4 linked regions of the Struthio camelus genome follow. The protein of the gene in region 1 binds, or shares a complex with, the protein of each later gene. Links are inferred from orthologs where the notes say so. Each region holds a gene or a part of one and is shown in the gene's direction. Other genes may lie near its edges. The genes, in order: RBBP4, ZNF512B, BPTF and MECOM.

Region 1 (7,114 bases):
CCTAAAGAGACACAGGATAATTCAAGGGACGGTAACCTTCCCCCCGCCCCAAGTATTATACAGGTGAGATATCAGAACATGAGAATAAACGCAAAGAAGTGAATGAACAAAAATGCTGGCCTTTCTATACCTATGCATTTGGGCAGAAGGTTTCACAGAGATATAGATAAAGATATATAGATACAGATATTTCTTCTTGCAGTACACGAGAAGAGTTTCTTCTTGGGAGAAAATGGAAAATAAATGTTTTACCAGATAACAGGAACGTCCTTCCTTACTATGGCTAATTGATATATATAAAAGTAGACTACTTGGAAGCAATTTGGTTCTAAAGCAAGGAGATTAAAAGCCCCATTTTGACAGACATTTCTAAATAAAATAGTAATGTAATAAAATAATAATCTGAAGCACCACAGGATTATTACATTGGAGGAGAAGCTAAACAACACAATGCTTCTGTGCTCTCCCAAGAGCAGAAACGAAACAGGCTACCAAAAAACCCAGTGCGAGTGTGGCATTTCATAGTTCCGAAAGGTATACATCTGAAACCAGTCTTCAATAGCCATTCCTGGTTTATAGCAATATAAGAAATAATTGATTTGTTATATTGTGAAATCCCAGCTGCCCATACTTACTGCACATCTGCTGTGTGATCCAGATCTGAGGGTGGAGGAAAAAGAAAAGGCATGAAGTCACCAAATGCATTTTAAAAATAAGGATTTTTTCAAAATAAAACCAGATATTGTTTTAACAAGAACTTTCTGTATTCATCTTGACACATCAAACAGTGATAATCTTTATTTTCCAGGATACTAGAAAAGGTTAGCACAAGAGAAATCTTGGATTGTTTCTGCCAAGCTTGATAGAAGAAAAACAGTGTTGAATATAAATTACATTAGTGCCCTGTGCGTAGAGCACTGTGTACAAGATATGGCCGTTGAAAGGCAACAGGGATCTGCAGGTTAATTGCGATAGAAAAAAAACTTTAACCAGGTATAAGCGAGTTTTGCTGAAGTCTGCAGGACCGAATACTAATTATGTGGAGGATAAGTTTTGCAAATGTTTACAGCTCAATGAACAAATATGCCTCTCCGCACCCAAAACACCCATTATGCAAAAAGGAGAATTTTAAAAGTATGCAATACAAAACATACAGTTAATCTTCATTAACAAGGTAGGATTAACATCCCAAGCATGTATCAGGTTTTACATGAACAGCATTCATATTCACTTAGATGAATGCCAGAAGTGCAAAATAATACCAGGTTGGTAGAAACAGAGCTAACTTGGGATGAAGAATGAATGCCATGCCAAGATCACTCCAGCTAAAACACTGTTCCGATGCTGCTTAGGTCACCCACACACTATTAACGGTTCTCAACAACTGTCTCTAAAGCAAACAAATTCCAGTGGATTTAAAAGGAGAATAAAACCTCTTCCAATTATGGAAGGAGCATGACTATTGTAGTATGTCACCGTATTTCTGCACTGCTATCAAATAAAGATCTAAACACATCCTAAAAATACATATTCTAACAGGGTAGCATACAGCATCCCTCCAGAGAAACACTGCTCAAACAGAAAGACGGTCAGACACCGAATGGTCTGCGAGAGCCTGAATCTAGCCCTTGGGCTGACACCCACTTACTGGAGAGGTTCTTAGAAGACGTTCCAGGGGTGGGGAAAGGGAGAGAGAATGATCTTTTAGTAGCGCATGTAGGAAAAAAAAGAGCAGCAGCACCAAAGACCGACCCGCTCTTTGAATATCTCTTTTTATATAAGAGAGGTAGAGAAAAACGTACTACTTAGCTAAGAAATGGCTTGAAAGGGGAAAGTTTTCAAGCTAAGACTTATAACTAATTTATTCATATCATGATTTCTTTAGCACCCATGACAGAAATAGCATTTATCTGCAAGAAATACAACTTTAGATATCTCATCCCTATCATTCAACTACAGATGCATCCCATAGCCTGAATACAGGATACCAGCATATTAAGAAACCGCACGAGTGCCTAAAAAGCGGCATCCTGCTCACTTCCTTCCTCCTCCCCGCCCTCCCCCCTAATTACGCTGTCACACGTGCGCTCTGCCTGCGTAGCATTAGAAATACTCACATTCATACTTCTTCTTGAGCGGTGGGTATTTGGCTTTGATGGCCTTCTGCTCCTCTGTCAGGTTATAGTCCCTCTCATCGCCTGCCATAGCTGTTGGGCTTGAATAACAGTCACTCACTTCCTGGTCTCATGAAAAATGGCCACCTCCATGCATGCTTCAGTGTTGCCAGGCTTCCTGTGTGATGCTAGTAATAAAAGGGAAAATTCCCTTTCAGTTCAGGTTCTTCCACTTGATATCAGTTTGGCAACAGTTGTACACACACTTACATTTTTAAAACAAGATTTTAAATGCGTATCTTTAAGTTGTTTGCTATTAAAACTGTCACTGGGAGATGGGGGGAGTTTAGAGCTCAGTCCTCCACCACTTGCCTTACTAACCGATTTAAACATGCTCAGTCAGCGAAGCCAAAGAATTACAATCCTTACATAAAGAACGCACTTAGGCCTTTTCAAAGATCTCAGGCTTCCTTGCAGCAGGAACCATGTTTCAGCTTCTCTGTTGCATACAGCACCACGCATTTGATTCATTGTCAAATAATAAACTATTGTAATAATGAAAAATAATCAAACAGCAGTAAAATGGATTAAACTGTCACGCTTCACGTAACTTCTGCTCTTACTACATGTTACTGTTGAGCCTACTCAGCCCGCTAATGTGACACAGCAATCTGAAATATGCATTGCCTCCCAACCACAGGACGTGACAGGAGGAAAGATCTGTAGCCCTCAAGTATGACTTTTCTCTAGAAAAAAGCTTAATTACCTCTTAGGACAGGGACAGCATTTAAAGCTTCAATGCTGGCATCCACATGCATGGTAAATATGACTCTCATATAAGCACAGAGGTTTTCCTATATTCATTTGCTTGCAAAATTTGTCTTTTTTTTTTTTTTAAATAAAGAACTGTATCAATTCTCTGCTTAAAATTCTCAGACCAGACCCTGAGTTTCATACAAGTTTTTCATTTGTAAATCTATCAGACACAAACTTCATAATCGAATCAACTTCAGGCCCGTTAATTTCATTCAGACTAGACCTCTGCAAGTTTTCATACAAAGTGGTCATTCCTGCTCCTTCTTAATATTTTTGTGCACAGTAAGATTTTTTCACAGCTTCCCCAAATAATGGGAACGATAGATTTATAGAAGACACATAACACCACCAAGTCCCCCAATTTTCAGTGTAAGGGCCAACTTGCGGTTCTTATTGCCAGTCTTGGATATGACAAGATGGTACAGGCCTCCCAACTTCCATTTTCTGAGAAGCAACTAGGCCTATATGGGACAGAAAAGAGCTTGAAATTGGGAGGCTCGTGCTGCTCGGGGGGGGAACAAAACCAGGCGTGCGTACATTTTGATTTTAAACCTGTTCCTTGACTGTTGCCGGTCAGATCCACAACTGATCGTGCCAGGTTATCCGCGGCTAATCAGGCTTGGCTTATACACCGGTCTGGTTGTCTAATGGCCCGTCTCTGCAGGGATTTATGGGAAAAAAAAAAAAGGAAGTTATTAGTAATTATCGGCAATAAATAACCCAAGAGGGGGCAGGAGGATGCTCTGGAGGTTGCTGGGCCACCCGTTGGGGAGGAAGGGTTGTGCTGGGCCGGAACCCCCCACACAACGGTGCTCCCGGCACCGGTCCCGGGCCGGAGCCTCGCTCAGGAGCCGTCGGGGCCCGGTCGGCGGCGGGGGGGGGGGGTGAAGCGCTGGGGGGCGGCGGCGGCTCCGGTCTGCGTGCTGGCCCTTTAAGGGCTGAGCGAGGGGCGCGCTACACCCGCCCGCTTCCCCTCCGGAAAATGGCGGCTCCCACGGGAGCTTCAACAGCACCTTCCACTCCTCCCCCGCTTTCTCCCCGGCCCCCCTCCCACGTGACCGCCGAGCGCGCTCGCCTGCCCCTTGTCCCCGCCCCGTGCCGCGCGCGGATTGGCGGCCGCGGCCCGGCGGCCGGCGGCGATTGGCCGGCGTTGGCGCGCGAAGGGGTGCGCGGCGCCGGAGCGGCACGCAGCGGGGGCAGGAAACAATAGAGCCGCGGCCGGAGGGGTCGGAGCAGCGAGCCCGGCAGCCGGCCGCCCGCCTCGCCCAGCGCCGCCCGCCCGCCCCCGCCGCCGCGCGCGCGCACCGGAGCCGCCCCGCGCCCCCTCCCCGCCCCGCCATGGCGGACAAGGAAGGTAGGGCCCGGGGCGCGGCCTTCTCCCCTCAGGGCTCCGTGAGGCGCGGGGCAGCCCCCCCCCATCTCCCCCCCCCCAACAACGGCCGCCGGCCTGAGGGGAGCGCGCGAGGCGCGGCGGGGCCGCCAGGGGGCGCGCGGGGGCCACCGGGGCGTCCGCCCCCCCCCCCCCCCCCGCGCCGCGCCGTGAGGCGGGGGGGGGGGCCGCGCGGCCTCCGAGGCGGTGTCCCGGCCGCCGAGGTCTCTCCCCCCCCCCCTCCTCCAGCCGCTTGTCCCCGCGCCAGGCTGGGTGGCGTTTGAAGGAGGAGGGGACTCATTTACTTATTTTTATTTTATTTATGTATTTATTTATTTATTTCCCGAGGAGGGTGACAGCGTGCTGGGAGTCGAGCGGCCTGGTCGAAACGGAGCGGGCCCTCGGGAAGGTCTTTTTCGGCTTGTGCCCTGGGCGGGCCGCCGTGCCGTGCGCCTAGGGCAAACAAAGGGCCTGTCACGGCCCCCCCCAGCCGCGGTGCCTGGGTCCCCGCGGTTCGGGTGCCGCCTCTGCTCTTCAGCAGCGCAAACCGTAACCGAGCCAGACCAAAGGTCTGCTTAGACTTGCTTCGCTAGCAGAGGCTAGCAGCAGATGGTCGGGGAAACTGCGTGAGAGATACTAACGCAGAACGAGCCTTGGTAGGTTGCTAGACTTTGCGAATTGAGTAGGTCAAGGCTGCACCTGGACTGCTGTGTTTAACAATGGTTGCTGGACCTCCCCCCTTTACTCATCTTCTATGCACAAATCTTTGTTTCTGCAATATCCTGTGGCACGATATTCCATAATTTTGCTATGCTTCTTGTGTTAAGATGATGCAGTTTGACATAATCAAGGTTAGTTCAAAGCCGTATGTGTGGAAACAAAGATTATCGTGTGTAACGGAGGATTTTGAATGATTTAGTAACTACTCTAATAGAGTAGTGTACCAGCAAACCAGTGTGATGTTGTAGTTAGCTTGTTGTTTGATGTCCGCTCACAGGTTTGTGTGTATGTTTTGAACGTGTTCATAAAGGCTAACTTTATGCATTTAAAAAAAAACCCAAACTTTAGCAGCCTTTGATGATGCAGTGGAAGAACGTGTGATCAATGAAGAATATAAAATATGGAAAAAGAATACTCCCTTCTTATATGATCTGGTAATGACCCATGCTCTGGAATGGCCCAGCTTGACTGCTCAATGGCTTCCTGATGTAACGAGGTAAACTGGTCCTTTCATTTTTTTAAAGAGGAAGAGATAGGAGTAAATTTAGGATTGCTTGTTGTTCAAGTAAGACCGTATAGGATTGCTTTTGGTTTGAATCAGCTTTTTGCTCCCTTGCCTTACCAAGAGCAAGGTGAGGACTGAACACTGGAGAGAGAAGCAGTATAGGCATTTTTAATTTGGAAAAATGTCTTTATCATTGAGAAGGCACTTTCATTCATTTGATTTTTGGAGCTTTTCTTTTTCCAGCTTCACCCTACCCTTTAGAAGCAGAAAAACCCTCTCCACAAAAACAAGGGTGAACATAATTTCAGCACCAAAAGGCTGTGGACAACTTATCTTGTGCAGTATAACCATGGCGTTGTCCTAAGCTTCCAGACCAATGTTCTGCTTGCAGTTAATGTTCACATGCCTCAGAGTTTTACTATGGGAGCGTTGCAAATGCCTCTTAAAAGAAGGCAAGGGAATGGTGGGGATCTGTTTCTGATATTTAGAGATAGGGACTGTGCTATGAGACTTACAAGTTGAGATCTGTCTGGAGTTAGAGTAAGTGATCTTCCTCAGAAGGAAGAGGATTTGGAGCAGGGAGAGCAAGGGTAACTCTAAAAGGTGTTACTAGTGTTAGAAGCTGTAATCAACAAAAAAAAAATGTGTCGTAATAAGCTCAGTGTCTATGTAAACCCTTTCTTTTGTTTCTCATGTAATTCTCTTCTCTTCCAGACCTGAGGGCAAAGATTTCAGTATTCACCGATTAGTCCTGGGGACCCATACTTCAGATGAACAAAATCATCTTGTGATAGCTAGTGTGCAGTTGCCTAACGATGATGCACAGTTTGATGCTTCACACTATGATAGTGAGAAAGGAGGTAAGGGACAAGAGGTGCGAACCAAGTGGAGTTTTAACCATCTTTTCCTCCCTGTTTTAATAGGATATTGGTCTTTCCTTAGCTTTCAGGCAGTAAAGCACAGGTACTACATCTAAACGAAACAAACCAATTGATTTCTAAGCTGTACCCTTAATTAACAGATAAATGTAATGTATCATGTGCGTACATAATGTCTTATTAATATCATTTTGAAGAAAGGAGGTGGTACGCTTACTGTAAAAATACATGAGGAAAAGACCTCCCCCTTCCTTATCCTCATCATGCGTTGGCATTGAGTTTCATGCAGCGCTGATTATTATTCTTTTATTATTGCTTTTGTGTTACATAAAGTATTCTTCTGCATACGTGACTTTCTCACTGAGTTTATTTTAGATGAGTGTAACATTTCAAATGTTCTTCTCCAGTTTGAATTCTGCTGCCTGATATTTGTGCCAGTCCCTCTTGGATAAAAAGATGATTGTATTTTGTTCAGTATATCAGGCTTGGATTCTCTGCTTTCCGTAATCTTCGTTGGCTGTCAGCATTGCTACTAGTTAGGCATTTCTCATTTTTACTTGATTGAATCAATCCTTTTACATAATGAAAGTCCTTAATGATCCAGCCATTAGCTGTTCTTTTGACCAGAAGCCTGGATTGTGTGAGTGACGTTTTGATCCTTCAGATTCTTAGAGTTATTTGTGAACACAGTGTTGTCTAATAAATATCTTGT
Region 2 (6,962 bases), on another chromosome or scaffold:
TTTCGCACGCCGGAGGAGGGCTCGCCTGGCCCCGAGCCCGCTGATCGCCCTCCGCTCCGCTGCTCGTCACACCTAGCAATTACACAACGCTTTACATGCTCTCCGCAGACATTAATTAAGCTTTTTCCCCCCCCGGAAGGGAGACAAAGAGGGAAACTGGGGCGGTGGGGGGGGGAACTCCCAACTTGGGGTTTTTTTTTTCGCTTCGGTTATGCAGCATGTTCAGCCCCCGGTTGCAAGGGCCTGGGAGCAGGGAGGACCGAGCCTTTCCTCCCGCGTCGGAGGTGCCTCGACGGCACGCGGCGCCCAGGCCGGCGAGGCCGCTCCGGGTTCGGGGCAGGCGCCGCGGCGTGCACCGCCGGCTGCCGTCGGCCGGGCAGAGCCCCAGCCCTGCCGGGCGCGGGAACCGGGGAAAAACCCGGGGGGAGTTTTACCTGCTTGCGGCACAAGGTGCTAACGGAGGAGCCCAGCGCGTCGCTGGCGGGCGCCCGGGCCGGGAAAGCCTGCAAAGAGGCCGGGGCTGCGCCGGGTGGGGAAGCCCGGCTCGCAAGCGCGCCTGCGCGCAGGCCGCTTCTCCCCGCGCGCGCCTCTTGCTTGTGCAGGACGCAGTCGTGTCCCGGCGGTGTCCGCTGCACGTCGTCACCTCCGCCGGAGGGAAAAAAGGGATTCGCTCACCCCACGCCTGCTACTATGCCTGATCCTCTCCCCCGGTGGGAGCATCCGTCCGATTGCAACGGTCCCTCCGGGGGTGCGAGTCCAGGCAGGCGCCGTGCGGGGGGCCGCCGGCCAGCGCCCTCGGTGGCATCTCTCACGCAGAGGGACAGGGACCGGCAGGTCCGGCCCGGCACCGTCCCATGGGCGCGCAGCCCCGCTCCCGCCGGGAGACGGGGGCCGGGAAAGGGCCGCGTCCTCCCGAGCGGCTCCCGGCTCCCTCCTACATAACCGCTGGGAGATGCGGCGCGACCCGCACGCGCGCGGTATTCCCTTCGGAGGCGGCCTGCGCCGGGGCGGCACCTCGGCCGCGCTTGCCGCTCGACAGGCAGAAACGACGTCCGGCAGCACGGCAGCTCGGGAGCAATGCGCGCCCGCACGGCCGGCGCTCGCAGCCCTGCCCGCGCCTCGCCCCCGGCGGGCGAGAGCCAGGCCGGCGTCCCGGGGGCGACGCGCGGAAGCCGCCCGCCCGGGGGCTCGTGGCTCTCCGGGGCCTGGCCCCTCCGACGCTGCCCCCCGGCCACGCGGGACGGGACGGGATGGATTGGGACGGGATAGGATGGGACGAGATGGGATGAGATGGGACGAGATAGGATGGGAAGGAGCAGGACAGGATGAGCTAGGGTAGGATGGGATGGTCCAGAATAGGCTGGGACAGGATGGGCTGGGATAGGATGGGATAGGATGGGATGGGACGGGATAGGATGGGATGGGATGAGATGTGATGGGACAGGACGAGATGGGATGGGATGGGACGGGACGAGATGAGATGTGAGGGGATGGGATGTGACAGGATGGGATGGGACAGGACAGGACGGGATGGGACGGGATGGGATGGGACAGGATGAGATGAGATGGGATGAGATGGGAGGGGATGGGATCAGAGGGGATGGCATGGCATGGGATGGGACGGGATGGGATCAGAGGGGATGGGATGGGATGGGACAGGACGGGATGGGAGGGGATGGGATCAGAGGGGATGCCGTAGCATGGGACAGGACGGGATGGAATCAGAGGGGATGGGATGGGATGGGATGAGATGGGAGGGGATGGGATCAGAGGGGATGGCGTGGCATGGGACAGGACGGGATGGGATCAGAGGGGATGGGATGGGATGGGACAGGACGGGATGGGATCAGAGGGGATGGCGTAGCATGGGACAGGACGGGATGGGATCAGAGGGGATGGGATCAGAGGGGATGGTGTGGCATGGGACAGGACGGGACGGGATCAGAGGGGATGGCGTAGCATGGGACAGGACGGGACGGGATGAGATCAGAGGGGATGGCGTGGCATGGGACAGGACGGGATGGGATCAGAGGGGATGGGATCAGAGGGGATGGTGTGGCATGGGACAGGACGGGACGGGATCAGAGGGGATGGCATAGCATGGGACAGGACGGGACGGGATGGGATGGGATCAGAGGGGATGGTGTGGCATGGGACAGGACGGGATGGGATGGGATGGGATCAGAGGGGATGGTGTGGCATGGGACAGGACGGGATGGGATGGGATCAGAGGGGATGGCGTAGCATGGGACAGGACGGGACGGGACGGGATGGGATCAGAGGGGATGGTGTGGCATGGGACACGACGGGACGGGATGGGATGGGATCAGAGGGGATGGCGTGGCATGGGACAGGACGGGACGGGACGGGATGGGATCAGAGGGGATGGCGTGGCATGGGACAGGACGGGACGGGACGGGATGGGATCAGAGGGGATGGGATGGGATGGGACACGATGGGACGGGATGGGATGGGATCAGAGGGGATGGCGTAGCATGGGACAGGACGGGACGGGACGGGATGGGATCAGAGGGGATGGCGTGGCATGGGACACGACGGGACGGGATGGGATGGGATCAGAGGGGATGGCGTGGCATGGGACAGGACGGGACGGGACGGGATGGGATCAGAGGGGATGGCGTGGCATGGGACACGACGGGATGGGATGGGATGGGATCAGAGGGGATGGGATGGGATGGGACAGGACGGGACGGGATGGGATGGGATCAGAGGGGATGGCGTAGCATGGGACAGGACGGGATGGGATGGGATCAGAGGGGATGGCGTAGCATGGGACAGGACGGGATGGGATGGGATCAGAGGGGATGGTGTGGCATGGGACAGGACGGGATGGGATGGGATCAGAGGGGATGGCGTGGCATGGGACAGGACGGGATGGGATGGGATCAGAGGGGATGGCGTGGCATGGGACACGACGGGATGGGATGGGATGGGATCAGAGGGGATGGCGTAGCATGGGACAGGACGGGATGGGATGGGATCAGAGGGGATGGTGTGGCATGGGACAGGACGGGATGGGATGGGATCAGAGGGGATGGCGTGGCATGGGACACGACGGGATGGGATGGGATGGGATCAGAGGGGATGGGATGGGATGGGACAGGACGGGATGGGATCAGAGGGGATGGCGTGGCATGGGACACGACGGGATGGGATGGGATGGGATCAGAGGGGATGGCGTGGCATGGGACAGGACGGGATGGGATCAGAGGGGATGGGATGGGATGGGACAGGACGGGATGGGATCAGAGGGGATGGCATAGCATGGGACACGACGGGATGGGATGGGATGGGATCAGAGGGGATGGCGTGGCATGGGACAGGACGGGATGGGATCAGAGGGGATGGCGTGGCACGGGACAGGACGGGATGCAACACGACAGGATGGGCTGGTCTGGGCCGGGGTAGGACACGACGGGACAGGACAGGGACAGGACGGGACGGGCACGTGCGCGCGCCCCCCGCGCGGGGGAGCGGGGCGGCGGGGGGCGGCGGCGGCGGGGGGGGGGGGGGGGCGCTGCCGGCCGCCGCGGGGTCCTCTCGCACCTGCCGCCCGCCCGGCCCGGCGGCAGCGCCCCCCCACCCCCCTCCACCCTCCGCGCAGCGCGGGGCGGCGGCGGCGGCACCGCCCGGGTCCCGCCCTCGCGGGGCGGTTCCCCCCGCCCGCCCCGCGGCCCGGCCCGGCGGCGGAGCCACGCGAGAGCCGGGGCGGCTGGGCCGGTGCGGGCCGGCGGCGGGGGCTGGGGCGGGCCGGGCCGGGCCGGGCAGGGCAGCGCGCATGAGCCGCGGCGGCGGCGGCGGGAGGGAGCGAGCGAGGGAGCGAGCGAGCGAGCGAGGGCGGCAGCGGAGCGCGGCGCCGCCGCGGCGGGTGTCGCCGCGCCTGGGAGCCCCGCACGGCGGCCCGCAGCCGGGGGCGGCGGGCGGCACCGCCTCGCCTCGCCTCGCCTCGCCTCGCCCCGCGCCGCCGCCGCCGCCGCCGCCCAGGTAAGGCCGGAGCGCGGCCGCCGCCGCCCGGGCTCCCCCGCCCGCCTCCCTCCGCGCCGCCCGCGCCCGCCGCGGCCGACGTCGCCATTTTGCCTCGCCGCCTTCCCTCCGTTAACTCCCGCCGCCTCTCGCCTCCTTCGTTTTTACCTCCCCCCCCCCTTTTTTTTTGTTGTTGTTGTTGTTGTCCCCGCCGGCGCGTGTCGCCTCGCGCCCGGCTCGGCCCCCCCCCCCCCCCGTCCGGTGACAGGCGGCGGCGGGTGGCACCGGGGGGCCCCGCTGGGGGTTGGAGGTTGGGGGGGGGGGCACCACCCCGCCAGGCCCCGGGAGGTGACGGCCGGGCGCGGGGGGTGGCGGCGGGGCAGCTGCCTGGCCAAGGAAGGTGACAGGCGATGGGGTGGCCCGGTGGGGAGGTGGCCGGAGAGGGGACAGGCCCAGGTGGGATGGTCGCCGAGGGGTGGGGTGGTCCGGCCCAGGCAGGTGACAGGACCTGGGGACGGACGGGGAGGTGACAGATGGACGGGACGGCCAGGCCAGGGAGGTGACAGGCAGCGGGACAGCCAGGCCAGCGAGGTGATGAGCAGATGGGGTGGCCAAGCCAGGGAGGTGACAGGAGGACAGGAGAGCCACACCGGGGAGGTGACAGGCGGATGGCATGGTCAGGCCAGGGAGGTGACAGGAGGACGGGATGGCCAGGGAGGTGACAGGACAACCAGGCCAGGGAGGTGACAGGTGGACAGGACAACCAGGCTAGGGAGGTGACAGGCAGAAAGGATGGCCAAGCCAGGGAGGTGACAGGCAGATGGCACAGCCAAGCCGGGGAGGTGACAGGCGGATGGCATGGTCAGGCCAGGGAGGTCACAGGAGGACAGGATGGCCAGGGAAGTGACAGGCGGACGGGATGGCCAAGCCGGGGAGGTGACAGGCGGATGGCATGGTCAGGCCAGGGAGGTCACAGGAGGACAGGATGGCCAGGGAAGTGACAGGCGGACGGGATGGCCAAGCCAGGGAGGTGACAGGCGGATGGCATGGTCAGGCCAGGGAGGTCACAGGAGGACAGGATGGCCAGGGAAGTGACAGGCGGACGGGATGGCCAAGCCAGGGAGGTGACAGGCGGATGGCATGGTCAGGCCAGGGAGGTCACAGGAGGACAGAATGGCCAGGGAGGTGACGGGACAACCAGGCCAAGGAGGTGACAGGCAGACAGGATGGTCAAGCCGGGGAGGTGACAGGCAGATGGGGGGGCCCCCGACAGGCCTAGGGAAAGGACGGCAGGACCGAGCGCTGCATCCCGTCGCGCTCGGGACGCCCCAGGGCGAGGGGGCACCAGGGACGCCCTGGTCACTGCAGCGGGCACCCGCTGCCACTGCCTTGCGGCAGGGGTGAGACCCGCGGTGGACGGGGCAGGCTGGGTCGGGGACGTCCCCGTCGAGGGGCGCCGGCTCCTGAGGAGCAGTGGGGATCAGATGAAGTTACTGCTGCTCATTGTCTGCTGGGGTTTTTTTTCCTGCGCGCGCGTGTGTGTGCTTTTCCCGTTTGCTTTTGTGCCTTAGGATGGGCGAGGGGGAGGGACTTGCTAATGTGTTTCAAACAGAAACTTTAAACCATCAAAAGCTTCACCCACGCCCAGAAATAGTCACTTGGCTGAAAGACAGCAGCTTTATGCTGTTTTTACTTGATGTGAATTATTTCCTTGAAGAGTGCCTTTGCTGGGGGATGTTCAACGTGGGAACTAGCAGCCCCTGATTTTTGCTCGGATTTTGTTCCTTGCCTTTACTCTTAGGAAGTGTCTCCTAGTGCATAACCTTAGACTCCTCGCGCTGCAGCTGCGGTTTCGCTCTCAGGCTAGCAGAAAGGGTAATCGGCGCTGAGACAAAGCAGATCCTCAGGTACCGGGCGAGCGGCTGAAATCGGGAGCTCCGCTGGGTTTCCTTCAGCCTCAGTGTCCTCGCGGCCTCCCTCGCCGCCGGCCTCGGCATGCCGTTAGCTCCTGCGCCGAGCAGGGAGCGACGTGCCAGCCGCTTCCCGTTTTGGCATTACCCACTCCTGAGCATCTCCACGGGCCGTTTGGAGCCCAAATTATTAGCGATAAGTGGAGCGTATCGACTGGTGATGGGGCCGCTCTGCACGAGCTGTACCCTTAGCAACGGGACCCGTGCAGCAGTTTCAGCAGGAGAACTTGATGTCCAAAGCCTGCAGGCAGCTTTTCCCCCTCTGTAGCCATATGAGCCTCCTGGGGACAGCGGGATCCCGGTAGCCGCTGGCGGATGGCAGCCAGCCTGCCAGCTCAGCTAAAACAGGCAGCGTTCAGGTGCAGCTCTGTGCGCGCTCCTCTTGACTTGATCCAAGGTAATGGATGTGCATTTATGCATGGAGTTATTTCCCCCTTTTCAGTCTGTGTCAGACTGACCCAACTCTCCAGGCCGTCGCTGTGGTTTCCCCGGCTGTTGCTCGAAGTGCCGATCGGCGCGCTCGCGGCTGCACCCAGCCGGCAGAGCCCAACACCGCTGTAGGAGTGGTTTGTAATAGAAAATAGCCTGTCTGGGAAAGCGCAGTGACTGTGACATTAGCTGTCCCTTGCAGCTGCGCCGGTGCGGGCCGCTGCTCATCCTTGGCTGCCTCTTGTGTTGGTCTGCTGCTTTTTTCCAGAGCGGGAATGGGATGCTTTAAAAATGCTGCCTCTCACTTCTGCCCCAGGTGCCTCAAGCTGAGCCAGAAGGTTAATCCGTGAGCCCACGTGGCGGTTTGTGTGCTCCCGGCACATCCCGGCTGGCCCGTCCCCGCCTGCCGCCCTGCTCCGATGGCACGAGCGTAAGGCGTCCTCGCACCATGCATAGTAAGGACCTGCCAGTATCTTTTTCTCCCCCCTGCCCTGTAAGTTGCAAAAGGGTTTTAACCAAAACTTAACGAAAGCACGTTAAAGGCGCAGGATGTAATCTGTTGTCTGGTGTCAGCATGCG
Region 3 (7,467 bases), on another chromosome or scaffold:
TGGGTATAGGGTTGGTACCTAACTTGCACTGCTTTCTCTCTCTTAGACATTATAGTACCACAATTAGTTTACTGTACCATTTTTGTGCCCCCTCCCCTTTTTTTTTCTAGTCCAACCTCCATTTTGTGCCCCCTCCCCTTTTTTTTTTTTTTCTAATCCAACCTTGTTACATTGTTCTGAAGCAGAGATGTTGGGGGTGCAGGAGGTTTGTGCGGCAGCTAGCAGTTACGAGCCCTATACCGTGATAATCTAAAGCTGTTTTGGTGAATCTCATTCTGATAAGACCACCTGCATCCAGAAGTTGTCTACAGCTATAGAGAAGGAAGAGATACAGGGCAGGAACTAGATTCCTTCCTCAAATGAAGAAGCAAAGTACAGTTATTTAATATGATAGCTTGTTACAATCCTTATTATTATCTCAGAGGTTGCCTCCTGCTGAAGAAGGAAAAGACTGTTTTCTTAAGCAGACAGACCTCCCTTCAGGAGCATGCTCTCCTGCACAGACTTGCAGAATGCAGTTACTGGATTACAGTATAACTAGCTGTATTTTAAGACTTTTGCTTTAGAAACTTTGGAAGCTTTCTGACGCTGAAAGATTGCATCCAAGATAGTTTTGTCTTTTTAAATATGCATTGTTTGAAATGTTACCAGTGTTCAATTTGAAGCTCATGGGGAAGAGGAGAGAGAGGTATTAAAATAACCTTAAGGTAAAATTTAATGCAGTGGACTTTAATGCAGTGGACTTTGGATTCAGTTTGACATGTCTTTAAGCTGACCATACTATTCATAAAAGCAGTTACCATTCTTGCTTCCTGAGCAGTGCTGGCAGAAATATCTTGCCCATTAGGTTAGAACGGAGAGTGGCCTAGCTGAAAATAACTTTTTATCTATGATTTTTTTTTTTTCTATGGGAGTGCTGACTTGTGCTGACATAATAGGACACTGAGGAGACATCCAGTTTCATTGGGAGCAAAATGCTGGAAAGCATTGTTTGAATAAATGCACTCTTAACCTTTGTAAGGTTTAGGTTGCCTGAGAATGAACAATAGCATTTTCTTGGCATTTTCATCCCCTCTCTAGCAAGAGCTAGAACATAACACTGTTATGGTTGAAGCACTAGGTGCATAACTTACTGGACTTCAGCCGTATGATTTTGAAACAGATGCACACAGTTAAAGGCCTTAAGAGTGGAAATTAACACTTTCCTGTTGTATACACCACTCTTATCAAAGGTCAGGACTGAAATATATATATATTTAAAAACAAAAAAAACCTAAACTGAACAGCTGAAGAATCATTTGGAGTGGTACTTCTTGGCACTGGCAGCAGTAGGTTAAACTTTCTGAGCAAGATGACTTACCTCCTAACTAAAATAAGAATATTCTTACCTACAAGGGTGTCCATTTTTTAAAAAATACGTTTTCAAAGGGTGAATGCCTTAATTTCTATAAAGTTAGGCTGACCTGCTTCATACTGCTTGTTTTATACAGCTTGAGGTTTATGCATGTGGAGAACGTAAACATTCCAAATTATATGTTTGTTTTAGATTAGTCAAAAGTGAAATCCAAATCTCAAAATTTTATGAATGCAACATTTGTTGACACTATTACAGGTGTAAGTATCTACTGAATAAAGGGGCTATCGGGGGATAGGAGCTCCCAGTGAAGACAGTTTGTCAGTCTACATCCAAAATAGCAGATCAGATGTTAACAACTTAAACTTATTTTTGTAAATAATGTGATTGAATGTTAATATAATTCAGCATATCAGTGTATTGATACAGTTTATGTATTTTGTAATATTAAATAAAATTACAATCAGTATGTAGATTACATCAGCAAAAATCACATAAGCCCTTGCTTTCTAAGGCTGAGTTTTAGTCTATAGCTGAGCTCTATTCTAACAATACTTAGCAACCTCTCAGTGTCTTACCAATATACATGTTACGGACTCTAGAGCAGGGTACTTAAGTTCAGTGCCTAGTATGTGTTAGTTGTGACACATTTGGAGGGAAGGACTGGACAAAAGCAGCTCAGTAATGTAAGCAAGAGCATATGCTTGCTGGATTATTTATGCCATCCAACTGTAGGTTCGTAAGTTCTTTCCTTTACTAGTGGAGAAAGGAACCTATCCAGACAACAGCTTGGAACAACTAGGCTATTCATCTTTTCCAAAGTGCCTTTTGAAAGGAGTCTTTCTCTCCATCCATCTTGAGTATGGAGGGAGCCTAGGACCACCTACCTAAAATTTTTCCTCCTGCTGTATTCACTTAGAAATGTGCTCATTTAACTATACTAGCAAATTTAATATGTGAACTTCAAGTTCCTAATGGAGATGCGTTTTGTCTTTGGGAAAGGACGAGGATAGGTGAGTAGGTTGGGGGGTTGTATGATTTGTGTGTGTTGTTTTGTTGTGGGTTTTTTTTCCCCTCCTCCTCCGTGCTAAGCTATGCTCTAGAAAGGAGTAATTTTTCAGTCCTGAGTGAAAATTAACATATCTGTCAATGCATCCCCATTCCCCATCTATAAAATTATAATTCTGATGTTCTATTCAGTAAAGCACTTCCAGATTAATGACTAACAAGTCTTAAAAGGTGGGATTAGGAAACAATGTATTTTGGCCTTACGCTATTTAAAAGCAAACAAAGGATTCTTAGCACCTTTGATCTGCTACAGGTACACAAAACCTACCGTATGTCACAGATCTTAACGTTCTCCTAAGGCTACAGGCTGTGTGAATGTTTTCTGTAGTAGCTACACTAGATTTTTTTTGCTAGATTCTCAATACATAGATGGCACAATTCACACTTTTTTCCCCCCAAGATCATAGAGGGAGATAAACACACAGATGCATGCTTTAGGACTAGTTGTGTAAGTATGTATTTTAATAGTTACCACAATACTGTGGAACTTTGAGAGGTTAAAAAAATCAACTTGATGGAAGCAAACTAAAGGTAACTTTGAAAGATTCAGAATACAAATTGAGTATAATGGTGTAAGTTAAATTAAGCAATGTTGTCTACCGCTGTTACTGTGTCTGGATGGTACTGTGTCTAGAACATGGCTCTGAGCCTATGCAGCTGCACTATTGAATATAAAAGAGTGTGACCAAATGGAAAAGAGATGCAGATAAAAAGCTGGATGTAAGAGTGCAAATCAGGTTAAACCCTGCTGCCTGGTGCCATTGTGGCATTGTTGCGTGCTTGACACTGCATGCAGCAGGTTTGTGGGTTTAATGAGGTTCTTGGGCTGAGCAACAACTTTATGAACACAAGGCACTTCAGAAACATCTATGGAAGAATTCAAATTAAATTAAATATCGAACGTACAACTGGCATGCTCAGGGCGTGACCAGTGCTAGGTTGTGCATCGCGAAGGCATTTATTTGCTTAAACAGAAGACTAGATTCTCTGGGCTCCTTTGCCAATGCAGAGGGAGAAGGGCTGGTTGTGGGAAATGCAAGTGGTTTTCATGCCTTGGGCTGGGTTTCATCTTGTACCTCTTTTGCTTGGGAAAGCAATACCCTGAATTCAACGGCAGTATTAGAAACCCAGTTCTGCAATTGGTTTCTGTAGGGTGGCTTTTTTTCTTCTTCTTTTTTGGTTGCCCTTTGGGGGCTCTGGACTGGAAACACATGAGGGAATACAAAGCAGGTGCAGCCTATCTCGGTCTTGCAGTGCTGCAGCAGTGCTGGGGCAAGTGGCCGGACACCAACGCGAGGGGCCGTGTGTCCTGCGTGGTTTTCCTCAGCGTTTCGGCTTTTTGCCGCCCGTGGCCAGGCGAGGGTGAGTTGTAAAGAGGGTGTTGTTCGCTTCTGCCTAACGGGGGAGGTGGGGGGGGGGAGATCTGGCGGCTCTGCAGGATTAACAAAAAGGCAGAGCCGCAGCCAGGGGCCTCGGCCGGTGCCGGAGCGGCGGGACGAGCCCTGTTGCCTACCTGCCTTCGCAGCTGTCCCGCGAGGGAGTTGCGGCCAGCTGAGCTCGGGGCAGGGGGGAGGCCCCCCCCCAACCCGGCGGGTCGAGCTCGGCGGCGGGGCTCCTGTGACGGGCGTCGTTATTTAAGCGGGAAGATGGTCAGTTTTGGGGCGGGGGGAGGTGGTGAACCGCCGCCGGCGGGGCGCCCCCGTGCGCTGAGGGGAGCCCCGCGGCGGGGCCGAAGGCAGAGCCTGGGGACAGGTGGAAGGCGGGGGGGTTTAGGGAGCTTTATCCCGGGGGTGGGGGAAGGAGGCGGCGGGGCGATGAGGGGGGCTCGGCGCGGGCTGCGCAGCGGCGGGAGCCCCGAGCGCGCGCGCGCGCGCGGCCGGGGTGGGTGGCGGGGGAGCGCGGAGCCGCCTCAGCGCGCTGGCTCCAACATGGCTCTCGCGGCGGCGCGGCGGCGGCGCCCCCTGGCGGCGGCGGCTGGGCGCGGCCGGTCACGTGAGGCGCTCGGGGCCTGCTGCCGCCGCCGCTTCCCCCAGTCAGAGCGGAGCGAGCCGAGGCAGAGACGAAGAAACAAGATGGCGGCCGGTGGCGATCCGGAGCGGGACGCCGGCAATTCGGATTGAACCCTCGGCCCTCACAGCTCGGCGGCCCCCCTCCCCGGTCCGGATCCCTCGCAAGGGGGGGAGCTTCCCCGTAGCCGCCTGTCCGGACTCCGAGCGCCCTCCCGAGCCTTCCTTCCCCCTCCCTTCCCCCCTCGGCCAGCGCCCAGAGATGCGGGGCCGGCGAGGCAGGCCGCCCAAGCAGCAGCAGCCGGCGGCGGGCAGCACTCAGGCGAGCTCCCCGGCTCCGCCCGCCCCGGCGGGCCCCATTGGGGGGCTGCGGTCCCGGCAGCGGGGCAGCAGCCGCGGCAGGTGGGCGACCTCGGCCCAGGCGGAGACGGCGGGGCCCAAGCAGAAGGGGGCCGGGGCTGCCCAGGCCTCTTCCTCGGCCGCCACCTCCCCCAGGGGGGGCAGCAAGAGGAAGGGAGGCAGCGGCGGCAGCAGCACCCCTGGTGGGGGAGGCAGCAGCGGTAAGGGCAGGGGCAGGGCCGGGGCTGGAGGAGCAGGGGGAGGAGGCGGAGGAGGCAGCTGCAACAGCCAAGGCAGGGCTGCCTCGTCCAGGAGGAGCATCAGCAAAGTGGTGTACGACGATCATGAGAGCGAAGAGGAGGAGGAGAGCATGGTGTCCGAGGAGGAAGAGGAGGGAGACCCCGAGGATAACCAGGACTCCGAGGAGGAAGAGGAGGAGGAGATCATGGAGGAGGAGGACGACGACGACTCTGACTACCCTGAAGAGATGGAGGATGAAGACGATGCCAGTTATTGCACTGAGAGCAGCTTCAGGAGCCACAGCACCTACAGCAGCACCCCAGGTAGAGAGTCAGTGGGATGAGCGAAAAACGAGGCGAGGGCACCCCACATGCTCCCTCTAGGTTTGCAAATACGTACACGCATGGGAGGAAGAATGCATGCAGATCGTAAGGGATGCCTGCAAGCACTCACAGGGAGAGAGGGGTATGCAAATTAACGCCTGGCAACCCCATGGATGCAGGGAACCTTAGAAGGTGCTTGCAAACACACATGCAGTCAGGGGAGGGAGGAGGAGGGGTAATACATGCTGCAACGAGGGGATGCTTGGCGAATATGCATAGAGGTTCTGGTCGCCGCAGAAATGCGTGCTACACCAGAACGTGTTGCAAACAACGTCAAAAGTGTATAGAGCGTTCACTTAGGATTTAAAAACAAGGGAAAGGAGGTGCATGCGTTGCTAAGAAGTGGTTGCAAATATATACAGGAGAGGGTGGCTTGTGCCTGGGAATGTAACTTAATGTTATAAGGAAAAGAAGCACATGCAACTTGAAGTAGTCTAAAAAACCCATAAACACTGAAAATTTGCAGGCTCTTGAAATCAGAGGTACAACTGGAAGCAGCATTTATTGGCTTTAAGACAAAACTAGCTTTTCAAGGAGGGAAATGAGGTGCATTGTTCAAAATGGAGATTGCATTGTTATAGTTTGGGGAAAAGTGCACAGGGCCTCATTGCAAGGGTGTAAACCTAGTTTTAGTTAATAAGGCTTTCTTAAACACAAAGATTAAAGGGTGGAGGTTGAGTCAAAAGTCTTGGTTCTAAACACCGCATTTATTTTAAGATGTGGCAAGCTTTAAAACTCATATTGGGGTTTAAAGGTCTTTAACATCGTGATTAAATTTTTTTTTTAATTTTTTATTTTTTAACCTAATGGCAAATTTGGGCTAAATTTTTTTTTCAGGGCCTGCATTCTTTTTTGTCTTTAATTAGTTCATTAGGTATGTGGGTTTGAAGCCTCAACAATTCTTTATCTGAACTTAAGCACTTTAGGTTTATTTGAATTAATTCCAGAATGAATGGAGTTCAGGCATAGAATTTTTTAATTGTTTTCTTTTTATTTTCTTTTCTCTCTCTCTCTCTCTCTCTTTTTTTTTTTTTTTGGTCTCTGAGCCAGGACATTGGTTAAACTTGGGGATAACCTGGGAATGTGTTGCTGAATTGGGCTCCAGGATAACAAACACTGTTGCTGTACAAGTATTTGACCAGCTTGGAAGGGGGGAGGAACAGGTTGTGCAAATGCATTGCATCTTTTTTTTTTTTTTAAGGTGTGTAGTTTTGAGTAGCTAGCAGATCACTTTTAAAAAGGGGGAAGTACTGGCTACTAAATGTGTCATTTGTTGTTGTTTTAGTGAGTTTACTGGTATCAGTCCATTATTTGATACTCTAGTAGTCCTTTGAAAAACTGGGTGTGTGTAACTATACATATACATATGCAAATATTTAAATTTATATCCATATCCTTAGGAACCTAAGGGAATTGAAAGTAAGTATGTATGTCACTAAATGAATTAATTTTATTTGTTTGTTTCTGGAATAAGTGTTAGTGCTAGTTTACCTGTTGCAGGGATGTACTACAATGAAATTGAATTCCTTTGGATATTTATTACTTTACAGATGGAGGTCTAGCTTCACAGGAAAAATTCTGACCTTCTCTCTTAACTCTTAATTTTCTGTTTAGTTGTGGTAACTTTCATTCTGACTACCTCTTTTTGGTGCTTTTGTCAGGGAAAAAATATTTTTATCGCTTTAAGAGGCTAGGTCAGGAAAATATTTTGACGTGAAAATCCAGGCTGAAAAAGAGTTCTACAAAATACAGGTGTATTTGATTTTTGAAATGTGCTGGCAAATAATAATAAAGTATCTCTGTGTGCATTGTTGTGCAAGCGTAGACAAGTCTTAATTGGTATTTGAGTAGCAGAAATCATTTTGATAATTTATATGCTTATTTTCCACTTGATCAAGGTAACTTCAGTTTTAGCTTTTTAAAGTAAGTTTAAATGTAAGCATTTTAATCATAATATTCCATAGAGTGTATGGTATTCTGGCACTGAGTAACTGATTAATAGTTAAAGCACCTATGTTGTTTTGGCAATATACTGGAACTTCTGATTAGTTCAGTCTTGGCTCGAAGCCCTTTTTTT
Region 4 (7,916 bases), on another chromosome or scaffold:
TTTCACATTGTTTACTGCTGTTTTGTACTTGTACCTCAACTTCTGAATGTGTTCTATTCTTACTAACTCCAGGGATGCTCTTGCCAGGGACATGATAATTCCAGGTCTGCTGGAAACTTAGTGCAAGTTTTGCTATCTGGCAAGTGTCTATATTGGACTATAAATGCATAATGTCCCGTTAAATTCACTCTCGGCTAATTTTCTTACTTGCTCCTGACAGTTGTCAACATGTGAGTCTTAACTATCCTCTCAAAGGCCTGTGTGACCAAAGAGAGATGCCGCAGAACCCCAGTCGGGAGAGCAGAAACCCACTGTCGGGGCAGCCCTTGCTCCGGGGGAGAGCGGGCGAGCGGGCTGCTACCCAGCCGGTGGGCCCAGGGCCCGGGGGCCCTGCGTTGCCGCGTCGCGGCCGCGCGGGGGCGCCGCAGACCGCGGGGCCCCGCGGTGCCCGGCGCAGCGGCGCGCGGGGGCCGGGGAGAGCCCGAGCCGCGGCGGCGGCAGCCGCGCTCCCGGCAGCGCCTCCCAGCACCCCAGCTCTTTCTGCGCGCAGCGAGCCGCGCTGCAGCCGCAGCCCGGGCCGGCCGCTTGCGTGCGCCCTGATGGCGCGCAGCAATTGTTAGCTGCCAACTTCTCTCCAAGGGGTGGTAGAATAATAGTTACCGGGTGGCACCGGGGAGTCCGGCGTTTGCTCCCCCGGTTTAAAGTCGTTTAAAGACAAGAGGGCGAGCAGTGCACGAAAATAGGGAGGCTTTGTGCATGCGTGGGCGTGAAGCACAGTGCAAAAGAAAAAAATAAGTGGTCAGAATAGGTTTGTTACGGAATCCGATAAGTTATAGGAAGCAAAATTAAATGTGTGGTGCTTACACGACGGCATGTTTTACAAGGGAGAAGGAAACTGTGCAGAAAATGCATGTTGCTTTTATTGTTGGTTTTCATTGCCTGTATTGTGGTGGATGCTTTATGCTACGGAGAGCAAGTTTAATTGAACCAGATCGCTGATTTCGTATAATAGGGGGCATGTTTTTTGTTTTGTTTTGTTTTCGGAGTTAACCGTTTCGGCGACTAGAAACAGGCAGCGCTGGGCTCCGCAGCCTCCGAGTTTCAAGGCAGCAAATAAAAACATATTACATAAAAACAAACACCGACCCTGCTTATCAAAGCCTCAATCTCTCTCTAATATTTTCCCTTGTATTTGAGATTTTTTTAATCACATCTGTCGTTCCCAGCCTTTCCCAGGACTGCAAAGCAAAGTGGACAGCTTCCATGTGACCGCCTAGTACAGGAGGTATTTTTTTACCGGGAAACTTTCGAGTGATTTTCTCCCTTCCTTTCCTTCTGGAGCTCAGAAAAGAAAATGCGCAATCTTCCCGCTGATTAAAGTCTACGTATTTGTCTTCAGGTTTATCGGGTTTATCCAAACTTTCGTGCGAGTGTGTGTGTGTATATCCGTGCTCCCCCTTCTATGCATTTGTAAAGTAGCCCCATCTAGCAATGATAAATATCCCTGTTGATCACTTGATTGATTACCTCTCGGAAAGGTCACGCGGGCTTGCAGTAATTTCCTTTTGCCTAAGGCTCCCTTTTCACTTTTACTCCCGCACGACAGCTCCAAGTACACAGGATCTTTATTTTTTATTTTAACCCCTAAATAGCTCCCCGAAAACAATGCATTGGCGAAAATGAGGAGGAAAATAAACTCCAAGGGTCCCCACTCCCCCAGCCCTCGCCGGGCTACGCTGTGCGCTGGTGTTCAGCAGGCACAAGCAAACTCCTGTCTCTTGGGGCTGGATTTCACGTTTGTGAGCCTCCCTCCCTTTCTCTCCTGTGGACTGAGAATTCGGATTTAAACAACCAGACAAGCTATTAATTTACCCATGCTACCCAGGGTCCTGAACCCAATTAATTTCTAATAATTACAGCCCAAGGGGGCTGGAGAGATCCCTCTGCCTCTTTCTAGCCTTGCCACTTCGCGGCACTGAGGTCAGCATATAATAATAAAGTGTATATTTTGAAAGTGATCAGCAGAACAGTGAGTTATTGCAATGAATGAAAATTGTTTCCATTTTGGCTAATTGAGCCATGGCTGAAAGCTGGAGTTCTGAGACTAAATAAAGAGGACTGTTTCATTTCAACGTAGACTGGAAATCCCTGCATAGCTTTTTGGTCACCCAGCAAGAAGCTTAATTTCTTAACAGCAAACCTGAAATCAAGCGTTGGGTAAACAGTATTAATAATTGCATTACAATGATTAAATTAATCTTACTGGTAGCTAGGAGAATATAGATTGAGATTGAATAACACGATGTAAAGTTCACTGCACAAAGACAATAGCACAACAAATACCTCGATGAAGAATTCCAACTTTTCTCCAAGTAGGCTTGTTCAATTATAATGCAAGGAAGAGAAAATTTCCTGTTATAGAGAATGCATTGAAACCTGTGTGTGAGGGGGTGTTTTTGGTCTCCCAGCATGAATTAGAAATAGGTTTAATTCCTCCCCTCAAAAAAAAAAAAAAAATCTTGTTGACCATGATTCTGCTGAAAACAAGCACACATCCACGCACGCCCGACCGTTCCGGCTTTCACTAAGCAGCGCTTTCCCATCCAGGAGGGAGCTAAGGGCTAGAAACGCGGACAAGCCTCCCCGCAGGAATGAAACGGATTTCCCGGGGGTCTCGCAGGGAGCTTTCGGGGAGGGGGACAAACTTGGCGAGGCTGCGGTGTGCGACGGACGGGGCTACCGGGAGGGCAGGAAATCGGCGGGAGGCAGCCGAGAGGCAGCCCGAGGCGGGGGCCGGGTGCCCCGGAGGGCGGCGAGGCACCTGCTGGGGCTCCCGGGGCCGCTGGGACGGCGGGCAGGTGGCGGTGACAGGCAGGCGCTGCCGGGGTCAGGGCTGCCCGCCCGGGAAAGCCGCATCTGCGCCGTCACGGCACGACGCGGCCCGGCCGCCGTCGCGAGGCACCCACGCGTGCTTTCCGCGCGGGTGTGCTGTTGGCGGGGAAGGGGACTCGTTAGCCCTGGTGGGCTTGCAGAGCAATCGAAAGTACGGGGGGCTGCCGCTTGGCTTGACTTGCGGATCCGCGGCAGAGCTAGGACAGTACACCTCTCCCCGTGCAGAGGCTTCGCCAGGGGCTTAGTTTAAAAGAGAGAGGGGGGAAGCTTTGCAGGGTTCCCGAGCGTTTTCGATTTGCCCGCAGGTCGCTCCGGGAGGACGTTTTGAAGACACCCTTTTAAAGAAGCCAACGGAAATGTCCTCTTCGTGAGAGAGGAGAGCAAGCTTAGAGTCGGAAAATGCCCACGCTCAAAGGGGAGCCCTGGCAGCCTGGGGTCCCCCTGCCGTCTCCGTCCCCCGCCCCGAGCATCCCCAGCGCCCACTCGCGGTGCCCGGCGGCCACCCTGTGCCCTGCGGCCGGTCGGGGGCAACCCCAGCCCGCCTGCAGCCGTCTCAGTGCAGGGCAGGGGGGCCCAGCTGCAGCACCTGCCCCTCACCGCCGGGGCTGGCCGGGCCGGGCGCCCCCGGGGGCTGCAGATCTGCGAGAGGGACGGGGATGAGGTGTTTGGGGCAGTGGGCAGGGCTGAGTCCAGCGTGGGTGTCCGGGGCACAGTCTTGCCCTTCCTCTCCTCCTTCTCCTCCGGCTCGAGGTGCGGGAGGTTTTAGCTAAGCCCCTGCTCGACTGCTGGGGTCACTCAGCAGCTGCGTGATCCTAAAAATGTCCTATTTGCAAATTAAAAATAATTACGGGCATCAGGACGGCTTTGCAGAGCGAGTTCGAGTACTTGCGCCTTTCTGTTGGATGTTTGGGGGGGGGGGGAAAGCGTGTGAGAAATGGTCCCCTTGCCCTACGGCACTGGAGCTGCGTATTTCTCGCGTATGGGGTGCCGGGGCCACTTGGCGTGGCGTGAGGGGAAGGCTGGCGTGGGGACGGGCGGGCGGGCGGGGGCGGCGGGCGGCCCCGATCCGCAGCACGGGCAGCCGGGCGGAGGGGGAAGGGGCGATGCTGAGGATTTTATTAAAACAAAAAGTTGAGCAGCGTGTATGTACTGGCGCAGCACCGAGTCTGAAAGATTGTAATTTTCTTTTATGGTGTCTGGCAGGATTTGCAACAGATATTAATGGGAACATAAATAGCGCATGGAAGGTATTGAACAAAACTGTTTAATGCAAGGAGGTTGTACCAGAGGAAAATCTATATGTAGTTTGGATTGATTCATACCTCGGACACAGCCATCCCCTAAAGGAGTTCCCAATTTCAGCACGCTCTCTCTTTGATTGGCAAGCCCTGTAATTAAAACAGATTAGAGCGGTCGGTGTTACTGTTTTAAAAGCACTTTTTCTGCCCAACTGGTGGTAGCTGAGCCGAGTTCAAGGTGGGGAAAGTGGGTGCGCTGGAGAAGTGTACAATTTAATGATATGCATACATAATCAAACTATATCTCCCCGTCTATATATACGCAGAGATCTATGATAATTGCGGCCGGATGAGAATACACTACTTAAATGTTGCAAAGACGCCAGAGCAGCATTAATATTATATAAAAAGCCAGCAAGAAAGCGTAATTTATTCCACTCTCCTACTCTTGCCACGGCGGGAGCAAAAGAGACTTCTCCCGCTGTAAAGACTCGCGGGCGCGCCGGCACGCGGAGCGCGCTGCCCGCCGCGGCGGCAGCACCCCCGCGCCGCGGCCGCGCTCTCGGTGGCGGCTCCCCGCGGCACGGGGCAGGGGCCGCTGGCGCAGCGCGCCCCGTGCGCCGGCGGGGCGGCGGGCGGCGCCGGGGGAGCAGGCGCGGCGGCCCCGGCGCGGCCCGGCCCCGGTGCCGGCTGTCAGGGTCCCCACCGGCGGTGATGGATCGCTGCAAACTTTTTTTGGCGGCGCTGAAATGTTGAAGAGCGGGGGGGAGCCGCCCGTGCGCATGTGCGAAGGTGTCCAAACTGACAATGCTGGAGAGATAGCGAGCCGGGATTGAGAGAAAGGGAGAGTGTGTGTGCGGGAGAGGGAGAGGAGAGAGGGAGAGGGGGAGCGAAAAAGGAGGAAAAGCTCCAGGAGGAAAAAAAAAAAGGCCCCCCCGCCAGCATCGGCCGCGGGACTGGCAGCATGCGATCCAAAGGCAGGGCAAGGAAGCTGGCCGCAAGTAGGTGCAATACCCCTTTCTCTTGGCTTTTCACCCTCGCTCTCTGCCATGTTGCATGATATGTCTGATGCGCCGCGGAGCTCGCAGGCAACCTGCCGCATCCCCGGCCCGGCCCGGCCCCGGCCTTAGCCCCGGAGCCGTCCCGGCGGGCGGCGGAGCATCCCGGGCGCGGGGGGCCGAGGGCCACGGCCGCCGGGAGCCGGCCTGGGGGCTGCGGGGCGCCCGGCGGGAGGTGGGGAAGGAGTTGAGGAAAAGTTCAGTGGCGAGCGCTGGAAGTTGCTGCTGCTGCCGGGGGCTGGAGGGGGGGGTCGAAGGGGGGGTTGCGAGAGGCTCCGGGCCCTATAGTGGGCGCTGTCGGCTGTCTGCAAGGGCTGGGGGCCGTGTGTGTGTGTGTGTGTGTGTGCGTGTGTGTGTATATGTGTGTGTGTGTGTACATCCATGCACACGGGAGGGTGGGGAGGGGGGAGCCAGCGGCAGGTCTGCTCCAGGCTGCGGGGGAAGGCGGCGAGTCTCGGGAACAAGTTGCCGGTGCAGAGCTCGCGGGGACCCCCCTGGCCCTGCCCGCCTCGAGGGCTGGTCGGCTGCCGGCTTGTGCCAGAAAAATATTAAAAAACAATATATATGTTTATATATGCGTAGCCGGGTAAAATCAAGCCAAAGCGGACACGGGAGCGGCGCACGCGTGGGGAGCCCGCTGTGCTGCAAGGAGGCTGTGCACGGGGGAGCCCTGGTGGTCCCCAGCGCGCAGCCCCGCAGGCGCTGTCAGCGCAGCGCGGAGCGGTGCGGTCGCAGCGCGGAGCCGGGGCGGCCCCCGCGGGAGGGGCCGGCGGCGGGGCCGGGCGCGGGGCAGCGGGGCCAGCGGGAGCCGCCCGCCGCCGCCCCGCTCCGCCGGGATGCGCCGGGTGGACGCGTGGAAGGGGCCGCGCCGGGGGGAGCGGGGCCGCCGGACACCGCGGAGCAGTTCCCAGCCTGCTGGAGTCACCCGTTAAAAGTTGATCTAAATGTTGTAATTTCAGGCGCCTTTCCAGCACTTTTTATACAGTTTGGCCGCCCAAAGGTCTCTATTCTGCTAGGCTAGGTCTCAGCCATCGACACGCAAATGCCGATTTATTTAATTATTTGTCTTACGCTCACTCCATCTGTTTCTCCTTTATGATAGGGATCTTTGCTTTTAACTGCAGCAGTGTTTTTAAAAAAGAGGGAAGCAACAACAAAACTTCGCCAGCTTTCGCGTCCTATTTTAAAAGCAGCTGATGTCTTTATTTTCACTGACACATCTGGGCAAGCTTCGCTTGAAATTCATGCCGATTGCAGCTTACATTCTCGACTGAAAAAATGGGCAGGCAAAAAAAAAGTCAGATGAAATGTTGCATAAGTTGCGTGACGTAAAAAGCAGATGCTTATTTACTCTTTATTTGTTAAGGGAAAAAATAGAGCAGCGTGGAAAAGGGGAAGCAAAATATCTCTGGATCATCATCAGCTTTTCTTTGAAGCTTAACAATAACAGCAACAACCTGCATTTGATTAGGTGATTTAAAAGTGGATAATCCAGCGCAAGGCGATTTGAATACAAATATGTTATTAAATCTCCAGGTTGCCAACCTTACTTTTGGGCTAATTATGTAAAAAGAGTGACACGTCCCCTACCAAACCGTCAGGATTTCTTTTCTTTCCCTTCCTTTTCTTTCATGTATAACGTTGCAAGGCTGCTCTTGCTGCCGCTGCTCTGCAGGGATAGATTTGGCCATTTACACAAAAAAAAAGTTTCTTCTTTGGGCTGCATGTCTTGGCTTTCGCTGCTGCAACAGCAGTTTCCCCCAGACAGATGCGTTGCATTATATAATCCTTCAGTTACAATCCGCTCATAAAGGAAATCATATTTAAAAAGCTGGGATTTTTGTATTTTGAAACACTGTTTCTTTTCCCCTGAAGAGCGTCTCAGTTTCATGGCAAGTGGAAGGAGGGTTGTAGGCGACCCTGGAATTTAGTCGTTCAGCAAGAAAAGTTTTCAGTTTTTCAATTCGTTCTTTCTGGGCTGTGAATAGAAAATGTTTTGTAGCCTTCACGCTATTACATGGAAAATCATATAAATTGGGATCAAATGCAATTCTTTTATTATTTCACTTTTACTTCTTTGTGCGTGAAGTAAAAAACGCCCCGATTGTGTGATTTTTCGCTAGTATTCAGGAAAGCTTTTTGCTTGCAATTAAGGGAGAATACCTGAAGAGCGCAATTTCTTAGCCTCTGTGTAAAATTGAAAAAATAATTTAAAGGATCCCCTCCCCCCCAAAAAAAAATCAGAAAAAACAAAAGAAGCCACGCTGGGAGTAGCCAGTTAATTTTCTAAATGCTCGGCTGCAAAAATAAGGGAGAAGACGAGGTAAAATCTTTCTCTCTCCCACACTTTTGGAAGGCAGGCTGCTGAGGAGCGGTGTGCGGAGCGCGGCCCGGCGGCGCGGCAGAGCGGGGCCGGCGTGCGGGGCCCGGCCGCCCGCAGCCGCGCTGCACCTGTGCGGCGGCCCCGCTCCGAGCTCCGCTGGGGCAGGACCCCTGCACCCGGGGCAGCTGCTCTTCTGCTCTGCTGAGTTTGTGCCCGCCTGATGAAATCGTATCCCTGAATAACCCCCGCCCCAGCACGGGTCCGCCGCAAGCCCGCACGCTGCCGGATCCCTGCAGCCAGCCTAGGGGTAGCCCCGAGCCACCCAGTAGCCTCATAAAGAGACAGAAGGTGATCAGATTAGGGGAACACACGTGAATAAGGAGGCACTTGTTACTTTTACACTTT

Evidence for each region.
Region 2: the proteins of RBBP4 (region 1) and ZNF512B are in contact, whole or in part, in a crystal structure (PDB 8TX8), measured with the Homo sapiens proteins. The link is inferred for Struthio camelus from reciprocal best matches to the Homo sapiens genes RBBP4 and ZNF512B. Residues at the interface, in NP_005601.1 of Homo sapiens: Ala39, Leu40, Glu41, Trp42, Pro43, Leu45, His71, Thr72, Ser73, Glu126, Asn128, Arg129, Pro145, Glu179, Tyr181, Glu231, Asp248, Glu275, Asn277, Asp318, Glu319, Phe321, Thr338, Lys376, Glu395, Asn397; in NP_065764.1 of Homo sapiens: Lys419, His420, Arg421, Arg422, Lys423, Gln424, Pro427, Lys428, Lys429, Phe430.
Region 3: RBBP4 (region 1) and BPTF share a complex: the UniProt entries of both Homo sapiens proteins name them as parts of the BPFT-SMARCA1 complex. The link is inferred for Struthio camelus from reciprocal best matches to the Homo sapiens genes RBBP4 and BPTF.
Region 4: the proteins of RBBP4 (region 1) and MECOM are in contact, whole or in part, in a crystal structure (PDB 6BW3), measured with the Homo sapiens proteins. The link is inferred for Struthio camelus from reciprocal best matches to the Homo sapiens genes RBBP4 and MECOM. Residues at the interface, in NP_005601.1 of Homo sapiens: Ala39, Leu40, Glu41, Trp42, Pro43, Leu45, His71, Thr72, Ser73, Asp74, Glu75, Glu126, Asn128, Arg129, Glu179, Tyr181, Asp198, Val229, Glu231, Asp248, Glu275, Asn277, Phe321, Glu395, Asn397; in NP_001353395.1 of Homo sapiens: Met1, Arg2, Lys4, Gly5, Arg6, Ala7, Arg8, Lys9, Leu10.

Annotation. Positions count from the first base shown.
Region 1 is NC_090964.1:8,465,251-8,472,364, reverse strand, and holds the start of RBBP4 (histone-binding protein RBBP4), read left to right. Parts: upstream 1-4,110; 5' UTR 4,111-4,268; coding exon 4,269-4,284; intron 4,285-4,461; exon of another isoform or gene 4,462-4,955; intron 4,956-5,367; coding exon 5,368-5,515; intron 5,516-6,238; coding exon 6,239-6,384; intron 6,385-7,114. Other genes in the region: ZBTB8OS (protein archease), read right to left, coding at 1-1, 636-660, 2,118-2,205. UniProt on the Homo sapiens protein: Core histone-binding subunit that may target chromatin assembly factors, chromatin remodeling factors and histone deacetylases to their histone substrates in a manner that is regulated by nucleosomal DNA.
Region 2 is NC_090959.1:17,626,146-17,633,107, forward strand, and holds the start of ZNF512B (zinc finger protein 512B), read left to right. Parts: upstream 1-3,945; 5' UTR 3,946-4,005; intron 4,006-4,489; exon of another isoform or gene 4,490-6,699; 5' UTR 6,700-6,831; coding exon of another isoform or gene 6,832-6,838; intron 6,839-6,962. UniProt on the Homo sapiens protein: Involved in transcriptional regulation by repressing gene expression. Associates with the nucleosome remodeling and histone deacetylase (NuRD) complex, which promotes transcriptional repression by histone deacetylation and nucleosome remodeling.
Region 3 is NC_090960.1:4,482,005-4,489,471, forward strand, and holds the start of BPTF (nucleosome-remodeling factor subunit BPTF), read left to right. Parts: upstream 1-4,456; 5' UTR 4,457-4,690; coding exon 4,691-5,330; intron 5,331-7,467. UniProt on the Homo sapiens protein: Regulatory subunit of the ATP-dependent NURF-1 and NURF-5 ISWI chromatin remodeling complexes, which form ordered nucleosome arrays on chromatin and facilitate access to DNA during DNA-templated processes such as DNA replication, transcription, and repair.
Region 4 is NC_090950.1:28,162,115-28,170,030, forward strand, and holds the start of MECOM (histone-lysine N-methyltransferase MECOM), read left to right. Parts: upstream 1-4,912; 5' UTR 4,913-5,094; coding exon 5,095-5,131; exon of another isoform or gene 5,132-5,135; intron 5,136-7,916.